Nothobranchius furzeri: one gene and its partner. The main gene of each other region encodes a partner of the protein of the gene in region 2 in a complex. Links are inferred from orthologs where the notes say so. Each region holds a gene or a part of one and is shown on either strand. Other genes may lie near its edges.

Region 1 (5,603 bases), on a different chromosome or scaffold from region 2:
TCCTCACAGAGCTCGGCTTGGTACGCTGAGAGCATGGAGGAGACATTCAAAGCTCGGACCGAGATGGCGGCAGCCTTGTACGCCCTCTCGTTCAGCGCCGACTGGAAGCGGTCCGCCTTTGCAGGGAGAGCGGGAGGCCTGGAGGAAGTTGCCGAGAGTCGTGGGTGCAGGTGGGCTGCAACCAGCGGTTCCATCGGCGGCATGCGAAGCATGCCAGCCCTCTCCATCCCCTCGAAGTCCAGCGAGGAGGCTCCTTGGACCGGAGACCTTGAGCTGAAAGGGTGTTTGTCCCAGGAGGACCTCACTTCTTGGAGAAGCTCCGGGAAGGCGGGAAGGAGGGGCTTTGCCGCCCTTGTGGCCTGAGGCAGCTTCTTACCCTCGTAGCGGGACCTGACAGCCTCAGTGACCACGGTGGGCCAAGGGATGTTGAGCCTGGTCGCAGCGCGTCGGCAGACTGACTGCATGTCCAGGTGGGCGGCCGGAGAAGCCGCTCCATCCCTGGGAGAGGACGGAAAGCTAGGCATGGAGGCCTGAGCGACGGGGAGAAAGACGTCGTCATCCTCGTCCTCCTCTGAAATGAGGAGTTCCGAGGTGTCCTCGTCGTCTCCGTAGTCCAACTCCAACACGTCCTCGACGGGGTGGCTCGGACCGGCCAGTTCGAGCTGTGAGCCCCAGCTGAGTTCGGCACACGGTTCCGGCTCCGGGAGGGCATGTTCGCTGGCGTCCCCAGGCGGTGGCCCAGGGGCCGGCAGGCAAGGGTCCTTCCCCGACAGGCTAGCTTGGCGCGCTAGCCGCCGGCGAAGGCTCTTCAGGGTGAAGCAGGCACAGTTCTCACATGACCCGGGGACTTCCAATGCCAGCTGGGCGTGTTCCAGCCCGAGGCAGCTCGAGCAGACCTTGTGCGGGTCTTTGCTTGAGATTTTGTTCCCACGGGTACAGAGGCGAGCTCCTGAGCCATCGACTCCTCTGGTGGGAGGAGCGGCTTCCATGTTGGCTAACTGGTGTGTTAGCAGAGAGCGAACAGGTGCACTGGAGTGTGAAGCTGCTCGTTATGCCCCGAACCTATGGTGAAGGTCAGGACAGAAGGACGGTAAGTTAACGTTCGGCGACGGAGAGAATATTAGAAGGCTCCGTCTGTGAACAGTTGAGCTAACTTACCTCAGAGATAAGCGACCACCGAAGCGAGAAGAGGTGATTGAATAGTGCGTGCGTTGGGACGCTTGCTACTTATAGTAGCATGGGGACGCGTACGTCACGGTCACTGGCCAATCAGGATTGGCGTATTGAGATAAGTGCTTCTGAGGAATCCGCGGAGGGGCGTATCCCATAGTGAGACATCGAAACGAATGTTAAGAAAGAGAACTCCTGGTTCCCAGTATAAAAAGACCAATATACTTATAGCTCATAGTCTATGACCCAAGAGCTATAGACCTTGGTAGGGCTGGGGGTAAACGATTATTTTTAAAACGATTATTCTGACGATTATTTTATCGAATAGTCGACTATTCTAATGACTATTTAGAAAATTAATCTAATGATTATTTTTCTATTGCACAATTAACAAAAACCAGAAAATCTCAAATAAATTCCTCAAAATAAGTGATAAATTGTTACTGTAAGAGAATAAACACTACAGGCCTTCCATTTTGTATAACACTGCTTTTATTGTGTTGCGGTTGGTTATGTTCTGGTGACGTGTAGAACTTGGGAGTGCAGGCTGCTGCCTGAGAGGTGGTAGAAGACGGAGTGTCTCCATGCTGCTTTGTTTTGGTCACTTATGTGCGTGAGGCGAGTGGTGTTACGACCCTTCCTGGGGAGTTTGGCTCGTGTGCAAAAAGGAAGGGACAATAACGGGATTTAAAAGTTAAAATGATGATCAGGTTTATTTACAACAACAAAAATCATAAATCTTTCCATCCACAGGTTGGGAATAATAAAACTAATTCTGCCTGAGGGGAATTAAAACAAAGTACAAATAAGTAGGGGTCCAAACTCTAAACTGGGCGGTTAAACCAAACTCAAGATGATATTTTAAACTAAACCGAAAACCCACAACACTCTAAATGTAATAAAAGGGAGATCTGCACCACAAAAAAGATTAACTCTAAACCAAAACGTAACAGCTTATCCAAACGCAAGAAGCTGTTAGCGAAGATGCTAACAGTAGCTTTACCAACGTTAAGTTCAAGTTACCAAGTTTAAATAAACCAAAAACACCCAGCAGCAAACAGACCAGCACGGAGGAGAGACTGCTACCACCAAAACAGCTCTCCTCATGTCTGAAAGAAGCTCCTTAATGAAGGGAGAAACGCTCCCGGTGATGTTCTACATCTGCGGTAGAGACGAAGCAGCGCATCTGACCCCGGAAGTTGTTGTCCGTTGCCGGGAGACGAAGGCGGGCAAAACAGGAAAATAATCTAGTAGTGGACGGACGTTATTCCGGGTCTTCGGTATTTGGCGGAGATGTTGGTGAAGGCGGAGAAGAGGGCGAACTAGAGGAAAAACAGGCAGATTCCTCCTCTATTTACAAACTCCTGGGGATGCAACAAGTGGGCGCGGTGCGTCGACTTCCGCATCTGACGTCGACAAATTTTTAGAATCGAGCCGTCGACGTCATCGATGCGTCGCTACAGCCCTAGACCTTGGTTTAACTCATTTAAGTCTAACCAGTACAGACCCAAATACTGACAGCAAGAATTATACAGTGGCATTTATAACAAATAAATACAAATAAATTGTTGTTCACAAAATGTTGCATAACATTTATTGAGTCATGTCAAGGTGCTGTAGGAGCGTGCACTAGCACCGTGTCCTCAGAGAGATTAGTTATTAGTTATCAGCGTGAGGAACTTATTTCTACCTTATTTATAAACTATTTATTTACAGGTCCATCAGTTAATGTAATAATTTTCCCAACCACAGCTGCACCCCCACCCCCCAACCCGGTTTCTCAGCAATCGGGGCAAGCTGCACGTGTGTTTAGCACGCCGCACGCGCACATTTAGCCGTTTTTAGCAGCTCACGAGCCCGCAGGTACGGTGTGTGTGTCACTCACTCTGGTTACTCCAACAGGGAGCCGGTGTTCTGAGAAAGCGTCCTACTTTGGCAAAACGTCCTACCCGTAGTAGAATTTTACGTTGTTTTACATGACACAAACCCTATCCCTAACCCTAACCAAAGGAATGTATTTTCCTGCAAATATGACAGCGGAGTAGCATTCCCCTTTTGTGTTGTGCGCATGCGCGCACATGCTCAGTAACAACGGGTAGGAAGTTTTACCGGGTAGGAGAAATTCTCAGAACACCGGCTCTGAGAGCTGTTTCTTTAGCAACCGACACATCACTACATCAATCCCTTTCCTAATGTCCTGAAGAACGGTCCGGAGCGCAGGTGGAGTGTTTAGCTAACCTGCAGGAAATGTCGACGACAGTTATCCAGAAAGTAGCTAAGGGTTACCAGAGATGTTTCTGACGTGTTCGCTAGGTACTTTTAGGATTTAAAAAGTCAAGAAGGGGGTCTGAGAAGCTGTTGGAAATAGCGTCAAAGTCGCTAAGTTGGCATCACTGTGGGAGGAGCGCTTCATTTGCAACTCAGGGCAGCGCAAGTGGGAGGAGCAAATAACCGGCTTGTTTTGTTTTTATAATCGTTCTAAACTCTGATCGTAATCGTGATTAAAATTCGATTAATTGAGCGGCCCTACCTGCTGGTGGTGGTTGGAGGGCGCGGTGGCGCCAGTGCTCGGCAGCCTCGCCTCTCTCAGCGCGCCCCAGGGCAGCTGTGGCTACATCGTAGCTCATCCCCTCCAGCGTGTGAACGTATGAATGATGCACTGTAGTGTAAAGCACTTTGGAGTCCTCCGACTCTGAAAGGCGCTACAGTGCGGGTCATTATCATTAATGAATGAAATCATCTTGTTCTGGCTCATCATAAAAAATGCTGAATGTAATTTTATTTGAACAGATGCTGTGTTCCTGATCCTCTATAAGGAACTCTATTACAGACACATCTATGCTAAAGTCAGCGTGAGTAAATCCTTAACTCAGACCTCTGGCACTCTTCCTATCGGCTGAAATGTGGAGCGATTTTTGCGTTTTGTAGTAAAAACGTTTTGTGTTTGTCACCAGGGAGGACCCACTTTGGAGCAGAGGTTCGAGTCGTACTACAACTACTGCAACCTGTTCAACTACATCCTCAGTGCGTCCATTCTCTCTCCTCCTTTGTTCCAATTGTGTAAATTATTTCTTGACACGTCGGTTTTATGAGAAAATTTGATTGCAAACAGATGCTGATGGCCCCGCCCCCTTGGAACTCCCAAACCAGTGGCTCTGGGACATCATCGATGAGTTCATCTACCAGGTCTCTTTCAGGATATTCATTTTCCCAACACGAGTCACATAAGTTTAGAACATTTTATTCAGTTTGGTTCCAGTGTTTTCTGACATGCATCGATATTTTTTATAGCCCGGCCAGCCAGGCTCCCATTCAGATAACCCCACCTCCTGCAAGTTCTAACCGAGCCAGCGCACGTCACACACCCCAACGTTCATTTTCTCGTAAACAACGAAGATGGCGTCTGAAGCAGAGCTTGCTGCGGCTCTTTGCTCTGTTCTAAATGACCTGGACTTGTCTTCGAAACCACGAGTAGAAGCACTAAAAGCCTTTCGTAAGAAATGTTTGCGCTGTCGCCGGACGCCATCTTTGACTACAGCTAAAAAGCTACAGCGTCACATGATGCGGTCGTCATTTCTGCCTTTTTCCTGATTGGTTATTTATGAGCTGGCTAGTCCCGCCCCTCATGGTGCTCTCTGCCTCGAGTATCCTGACTCGTCCTCTGTGTGGAACAGACGGAGAACGAGTCTGTCGGGCATATTCAGCTCGTCTCCCGTTTCCACCCAGCAACCCCACGGGAAGTACAGACACGTGGTGGTGACTAAAATGGGAATTCTGTTTATTCCTTTCACAGTTCCAGTCCTTCAGCCAGTACCGCTGTAAGACGGCCAAGAAGTCTGAGGAGGAAATTGAGTTCTTGAGGAACAACCCAAAGATCTGGAACGTCCACAGTGTCCTCAACGTTCTCCACTCCCTGGTGGATAAGAGCAACATCAACCGTCAGCTTGAGGTCTACACCAGTGGAGGTAAAGAGCCTTTAACTCATTCACTGCCAATGACGACTAAAGTCATCATTTGCATGTTTTTACTGTGTGGATGTCGGACGAGCCCCCGAACCGTGAGAACAAACATCTCCGCTCTAAAGCTGATCTTCAACCGCGTACGTCACACGTCACGTGATCAGGAAGCAGAACATCCATGTGTTAGGAGATCGTTTTGGGCCGCTGCTTTAAAAAAAAGTGAGGCGCGAACCGGAAAAGCGTCTGCCGATCACAATTCAACAACGGATTATGAACGAATGGATAACGCTCGAAACGCGCGGATTCTTCCTGATGTAAGAGGTGAGTCTCCGCTTTGTTTGGGTTGTTTTGGCGTCGACATCATGCTAGCGCGCAACGTTCTGTCACTCTTAAAAAAACAGTAACCCCCAAATTCCACTACCTCCGCTCCGGTCCGCCCCCGCCTTCCGCAGCCGCTCGCTTCCGAACTCGATT
Region 2 (5,594 bases):
GTTGAGGGAAGCTTTTCAGTCCAGCCTTTTATCCTTTTTTTATTATGATTTTTTTTGGCAGAGTAAATCCTGGATTATTAAAGAACGTTTTAGAACTAAAACGTTTGAACTCTTATTCATTTGTGTAGTGTTTAAATGTGAGTCTGTATTTATTGTTGAAATCATACAGTCACTGATATCGGGGGTTAAAATAAAGGATATTTTCATTTAAGCTGATCATTTTCATTCATTTTACTCCAAATTTGTCATCCTTACCTCTCCTGGGTTATGTTGCACATTACCAGTTTAGTTATTAGTATTAGCACTTTTATCTCATTTAACTCCATCTTTGTTCCGTGTGTGTGTGGGATGTACCTGTTTATATCTGTGATGGTCCTGGGAACGGCAAAGGCTTCTGGTCAGGTTTATTCTAAAGAATGTCAAAGTTCCTCTATGCAACGCTTGCATCTTGGTTTTATTCTGTGGCCTCGACCCACGAGCACTTAGCTGAGAATGTAATCTCATCATATCCACTGTTCTGCATAAATGTGTCGGGGACGACATATCTCACAGTTTAAGGCCTTTTTCTTCCAAGGGGTTGATACTTTTACATTGGGTGCTTTTGAAATGTGCATTGATCTGAGCCAAGTGAGAAAACTGAGAGGAGAAGTCTAATTTGATTTGGTTTCCTCCAAACACACGCCTGTTTCCCCTGTGCACTACATATGTAGTTTCGACAAAGCAATGCCATCCGAAACAGAAATGCAAATGTTTTTCAGTCTACCATAGGATGTATTCACTGTACTGTTTACTTTTCATATAAACCAAAGATGTCTCCCTGTTGTAGTTTATCTTTTGCAGTATGTTATTTTCTGGCCCTGATTTTAAATAAAATTAGAGTATGTCTGATTTTCTGGCAGATTATTTTTTACAGTGAATTATTTGTGTCATAATGAGAATTTTGAGAACTATGGAGATAATTTATTGTGATTTTTGAGATTTTGTGTCACCATATTTCCAGAATGAAGGGCACAGGACTAATTTTTCTTTTTAAATACTGTATTTGATGACCTTCAAAAAGAATCCAATAAAATCACTGTCAGAAAAGTAAATTTAAGTGACAGAAACTAAACGTAATAAAAGAAACTGGTGAGGAAGGAGTGGTTTCGTGACTGACAGAAATGCAAAATGATTTACAACTTATACAGGAGGGTGGCATGTTATCATACATTATGTTGATAAATATCATGTATGTAGCAGTATTCGGGATTAAATATTCACAAATGAGCTGATAAGGAGCAGGACTGAAACGAGCACAAGTTTGGGATCAAATTACTTTATTTTCTAGATTCCAGAAAGTCCTTCATACCACATTTGTCCAGGAGGGGGCGGCAGGTCGTCCATCTGCGGTTAATACCATCGAAGAAGAAAATGGAAGCCTTCTCTTCCGCCACAGCTCCGGTGTCTGACACATGAGGGTTTAACTTTTCTCCCATTGTGAGGCGCAGCAAATTGACTAAAGCATCTGGAAACACCTAGCTGACGACAATGGTTGGTATATTTATTTACAAGGCAATGTTTACCTGGCGGTTTTCAGTTTTTGTTCTTTAGCTTGTCGCTGTAGTTTGGGGTTTTACTTTGTCTGTTGTGGCTAGCTATAGCTTTTCACGTTAGCTAATGTACATATTCATTTTGGCAGAAGTCTTGAGTTAGCTAAGCTATGAAAGAGATTTCTGTGACTCGTATAGTGTTGGTGCTTTACGCCTAGGCAAGTCAAAGCTACGTTATTCTTTCTTTTTTCAATTAAAACAGTCATGTGTAAATGCTAGCTTAATCTGAACCGTTATCGGTGTTTCTAGAAACCCATTTTGCTCCAGGGCCACGAGAGGTCCATCACACAAATCAAATACAACAGAGAAGGAGATCTGCTCTTCTCGGTGGCTAAAGATACAGTGAGTTGGTACACACTCGCTCTTCTGTCGGATCATTCAACACGACGTTTGGGAGCAGCCAAACTCATCCCTGCTGTTCTGCTGCTATCCAGGTTGCCAACGCGTGGTACTCTGTGAACGGAGAGAGGCTCGGGACCTACAATGGACACACCGGAGCTGTGTGGTGTGTTGACTGTGACTGTATCCTTTGCACCTCTGCCTAATGTAAGCTAGGGGTGTCTGTCAGTGAAGTTAGGCATCTTAACTAGTTGTCTCAGGGGACACAAAGAACGTGTTAACAGGATCAGCAGACAACAGCTGCAGGCTGTGGGACTGTGAGACTGGTAAGTAAACCTTAACAATGTGCTTTTCCAAAGAGGTGGACATGATTTTTAGGGTATTGGGATAGTTTGTAAACCTGACATCATGCTGTCTAAATGACATCTTTAATGTGTTTTCACAGGTAAACAGCTGGCTCTGCTCAACACCAACTCTGCCGTCAGGACGTGTGGGTTCGACTTCAGCGGCAACATCATCATGTTCTCCACCGACAAGCAGATGGGTTACCAGTGCTTCCTGAACTTCTTTGACCTGAGGGATCCACAGCAAATAGGTAAACATTAAATGCGCAAACACACACACGCACACATGTTCTGCAATGGTGTGGCCACAGTATATGGACTGGATATATACCATTTTAAACAAACTTTCTTACACTTTTTGCAATTTTTAATGTCAGTCAGACACCTAAATAAAGTTAATTTAGACCAATCCTGGTCCTGGAGGGCCGGTATCCTGCATGTTTTAGTTTGAACTCTGTTTCAATACTCCTGATTTCAATCAGCAGCTAATTAGCGGTCTTTTGCAGCGCCTGATGAGCTGCTGCACAGGTGTTTCAACCACTGAATCAAGTCTGTAGGAGCAGAAAAACCACAAAACCTGTTGGATACCGGTGTCGGCACAGGATCTGCTCGGGTGCAAAATTGGCTCAGGGTCCGTCGACTGCCGATGACGTCTAAGTAGTTGATTGGCTGCACATGAACCTTACGGAATTACGTAATCACGTTACGTTGTTATCACGTTACGTTGGTCCAGGCAAATCTTTCTGTTGGAAAGATGGACAACTTTTACAAAGAAATCCATCATTACCTCTTTGAAAATACACTTTGAGCATAGAGCTGCATGTATATTAGGGCTGAACGATTAACTGCATGTGTAATTAAATTGCGATGTGACAAAAGGAGATTTTCTAATCGCAAAGGCTGCAATTTGGCAGCGAGTGGTTAGCGCAATGCTAATATACATGGAAAAACCCATAGGAATGCTAATGCTAATATCGCCGATTACATGATCAAATTATGAATTAGAAACGTGCCAAATGATTACATTTGGAGTCTAATAGAAAGTAAAAATACCATCAATCAAATAAGTACAGACAGGTATTTTAGTAAAGCCAGAAAACTTTTAACTCCAGAGTTTTGGCTAGCAGCTATGAGCGTAATGAACTACGCATGGACAAGACGTCAAAAACTCTAAACACAAAATACTTCAATAAATGGGACACACTTCTTTCCTGCAAATACAATTTCACAGGTGTTGCTAATACCTATGATTCTTCAAGGGATGTGCTCAAAGAGGAGTTCAACATCATGACTACAATATAGTGTTTTATTTTACAAATACCATTATAAACACAAACTTACGTCTTAAGAAACATTATTTTAATAAGGAAACTGCTAAATTCTTTCCAACAGTATAGATGTGTACTGTATTTTGTCCGAGTGGGTTTGCCGTACTTTGACGTCATCGGCAGTCGAAGGACCCCGAGCCGATCTTGTACCGACACCGGCCCTCCAGGACCAGGATTGGGCACCCCTGATTTAGAGTATTTATTATGCAGATGTTATTAGTGAATGTTGGGGAAAAAATTTGAATTAAATTCTGCAACAGCACCAGGGTGACTATAGATGTGCCTGACTTTAAATCAGCTTTACTAAGAAAAAACAGCCGATGAATAAAAAACTAAACATTGGCCAACCAATATAATCGGTCCACCCCTAATTCACTCATTCCTTTATTCCATGTAGCAGCTCAGTGGTCACTGTTTTTCAAAATTGCATTGATTCATGTACCAGACTATTAGACGAAGAAATAAGTTAAGATCGTCTAGCCTAGTGAACTAGACCAAATTCTTGCCTTGTAATGTTTGGTGTGGGAACGCTCCACCGGAACTTCTGAGGCCTCCTAGCAGCATTCTGGCAGATGTGTTTTAGTCTTTTATTTAGAAAAAGGATGTATTTTTGCCGCCTTCAACGGCAGACATCCTTGTTTACAGAGGTTGCGGTGAGTACTCCACGTTGTTCGTTGTCCAGTAGGGTGCAATGATTGTTTGAAAGACAACGGTAGAACCCGCCCCACGACAGGCAATGGAACATTAAATAATATTATGGATTTAGTCTGGCGTGCCAGGCTAAAGAACATCCAAAATATCTCAATTTAGAGACTATTTTAAGCTAAAGAAGGTCATAAAAGTGCCAACTATGCTTCTGTTGAAACACACGTAGATTTCCTCAATAACACGTGTGCAGCAACTTTTCCCACACTGAAACATTTCAAAATGAATTGACATGTTTTGTGCACGTGTCCTGAATCAAGTTGAAGATGGTGTGATGTAGGGTCGTCACGGTGTGAAAATGTAGCCTCGCGGTTATCGTAACCAAAATGAAAACGGTATTATCGCGGTATTTTTTTAAACGTGTTACATTTTCAGACAACTAAATAAACCCTGTATGTCAGGAAAATATTGTCCTCAGTTTGTGTCTAAATTTTGCCTAAAACGTGTTATTTTGTAATTATGTTGTTTATTTGTTTACATTTTTCCCCTTTAGTCTTTAAAATACCAATATTTGCCCATAACTTCAAAATTTTTTGTCTGTTTGATGTCATCATTTTAAAAATATTAGACCAGATGATACTCAGTACTCAAGTAGCCTTCTAATCAGATACCGTATTTTCACGACCATAGGGCGCACCGGGTTATAGGGCGCGGGCATGGGCACGTTCAAACGTACCGGTGTCGGTACAGGATCTGCTCGGGTGCAAGATCGGCTCGGGGTCCTTTGACTGCCGATGACGTCAAAGTACGGCAAACCGACTCGGACAAAATACACTACACATCTATACTGTTGGAAAGAATTTAGCAGTTTCGTTATTAAAATAATGTTTCTTAAGACGTAAGTTTGTGTTTATAATGGTATTTGTAAAATAAAACACTATATTGTATTCATAATGTTGAACTCCTCTTTGAGCACATCCCTTGAAGAATCATAGGTATTAGCAACACCTGTGAAATTGTATTTGCAGGAAAGAAGTGTGTCCCGTTTATTGAAGTATTTTGTGTTTAGAGTTTTTGACGTCTTGTCCATGCGTAGTTCAGTTACGCTCATAGCTGCTAGCCAAAACTCTGGAGTTAAAAGTTTTCTGGCTTTACTAAAATACCTGTCTGTACTTATTTGATTGATGGTATTTTTTACTTTCTACTAGACTCTAAATGTAATCATTTGGCACGTTTCTAATTCATAATTTGTAATAATGTAATCGGCGATATTAGCATTAGCATTCCTATGGGTTTTTCCATGTATATTAGCATTGCGCTAACCACTCGCTGCCAAATTGCAGCCTTTG

What was found. The genes of interacting proteins can lie anywhere in the genome.
Region 1: eif3i (region 2) and eif3s6ip share a complex: the UniProt entries of both Homo sapiens proteins name them as parts of the eukaryotic translation initiation factor 3 (eIF-3) complex. The link is inferred for Nothobranchius furzeri from reciprocal best matches to the Homo sapiens genes EIF3I and EIF3L.

Annotation. Positions count from the first base shown.
Region 1 is NC_091752.1:5,219,176-5,224,778, reverse strand, and holds part of eif3s6ip (eukaryotic translation initiation factor 3 subunit L), read left to right. Parts: intron 1-3,960; coding exon 3,961-4,022; intron 4,023-4,124; coding exon 4,125-4,194; intron 4,195-4,282; coding exon 4,283-4,356; intron 4,357-4,963; coding exon 4,964-5,135; intron 5,136-5,603. UniProt on the Homo sapiens protein: Component of the eukaryotic translation initiation factor 3 (eIF-3) complex, which is required for several steps in the initiation of protein synthesis.
Region 2 is NC_091751.1:3,239,627-3,245,220, forward strand, and holds the start of eif3i (eukaryotic translation initiation factor 3 subunit I), read left to right. Parts: upstream 1-1,390; 5' UTR 1,391-1,527; coding exon 1,528-1,530; intron 1,531-1,838; coding exon 1,839-1,931; intron 1,932-2,023; coding exon 2,024-2,111; intron 2,112-2,188; coding exon 2,189-2,254; intron 2,255-2,373; coding exon 2,374-2,523; intron 2,524-5,594. UniProt on the Homo sapiens protein: Component of the eukaryotic translation initiation factor 3 (eIF-3) complex, which is required for several steps in the initiation of protein synthesis.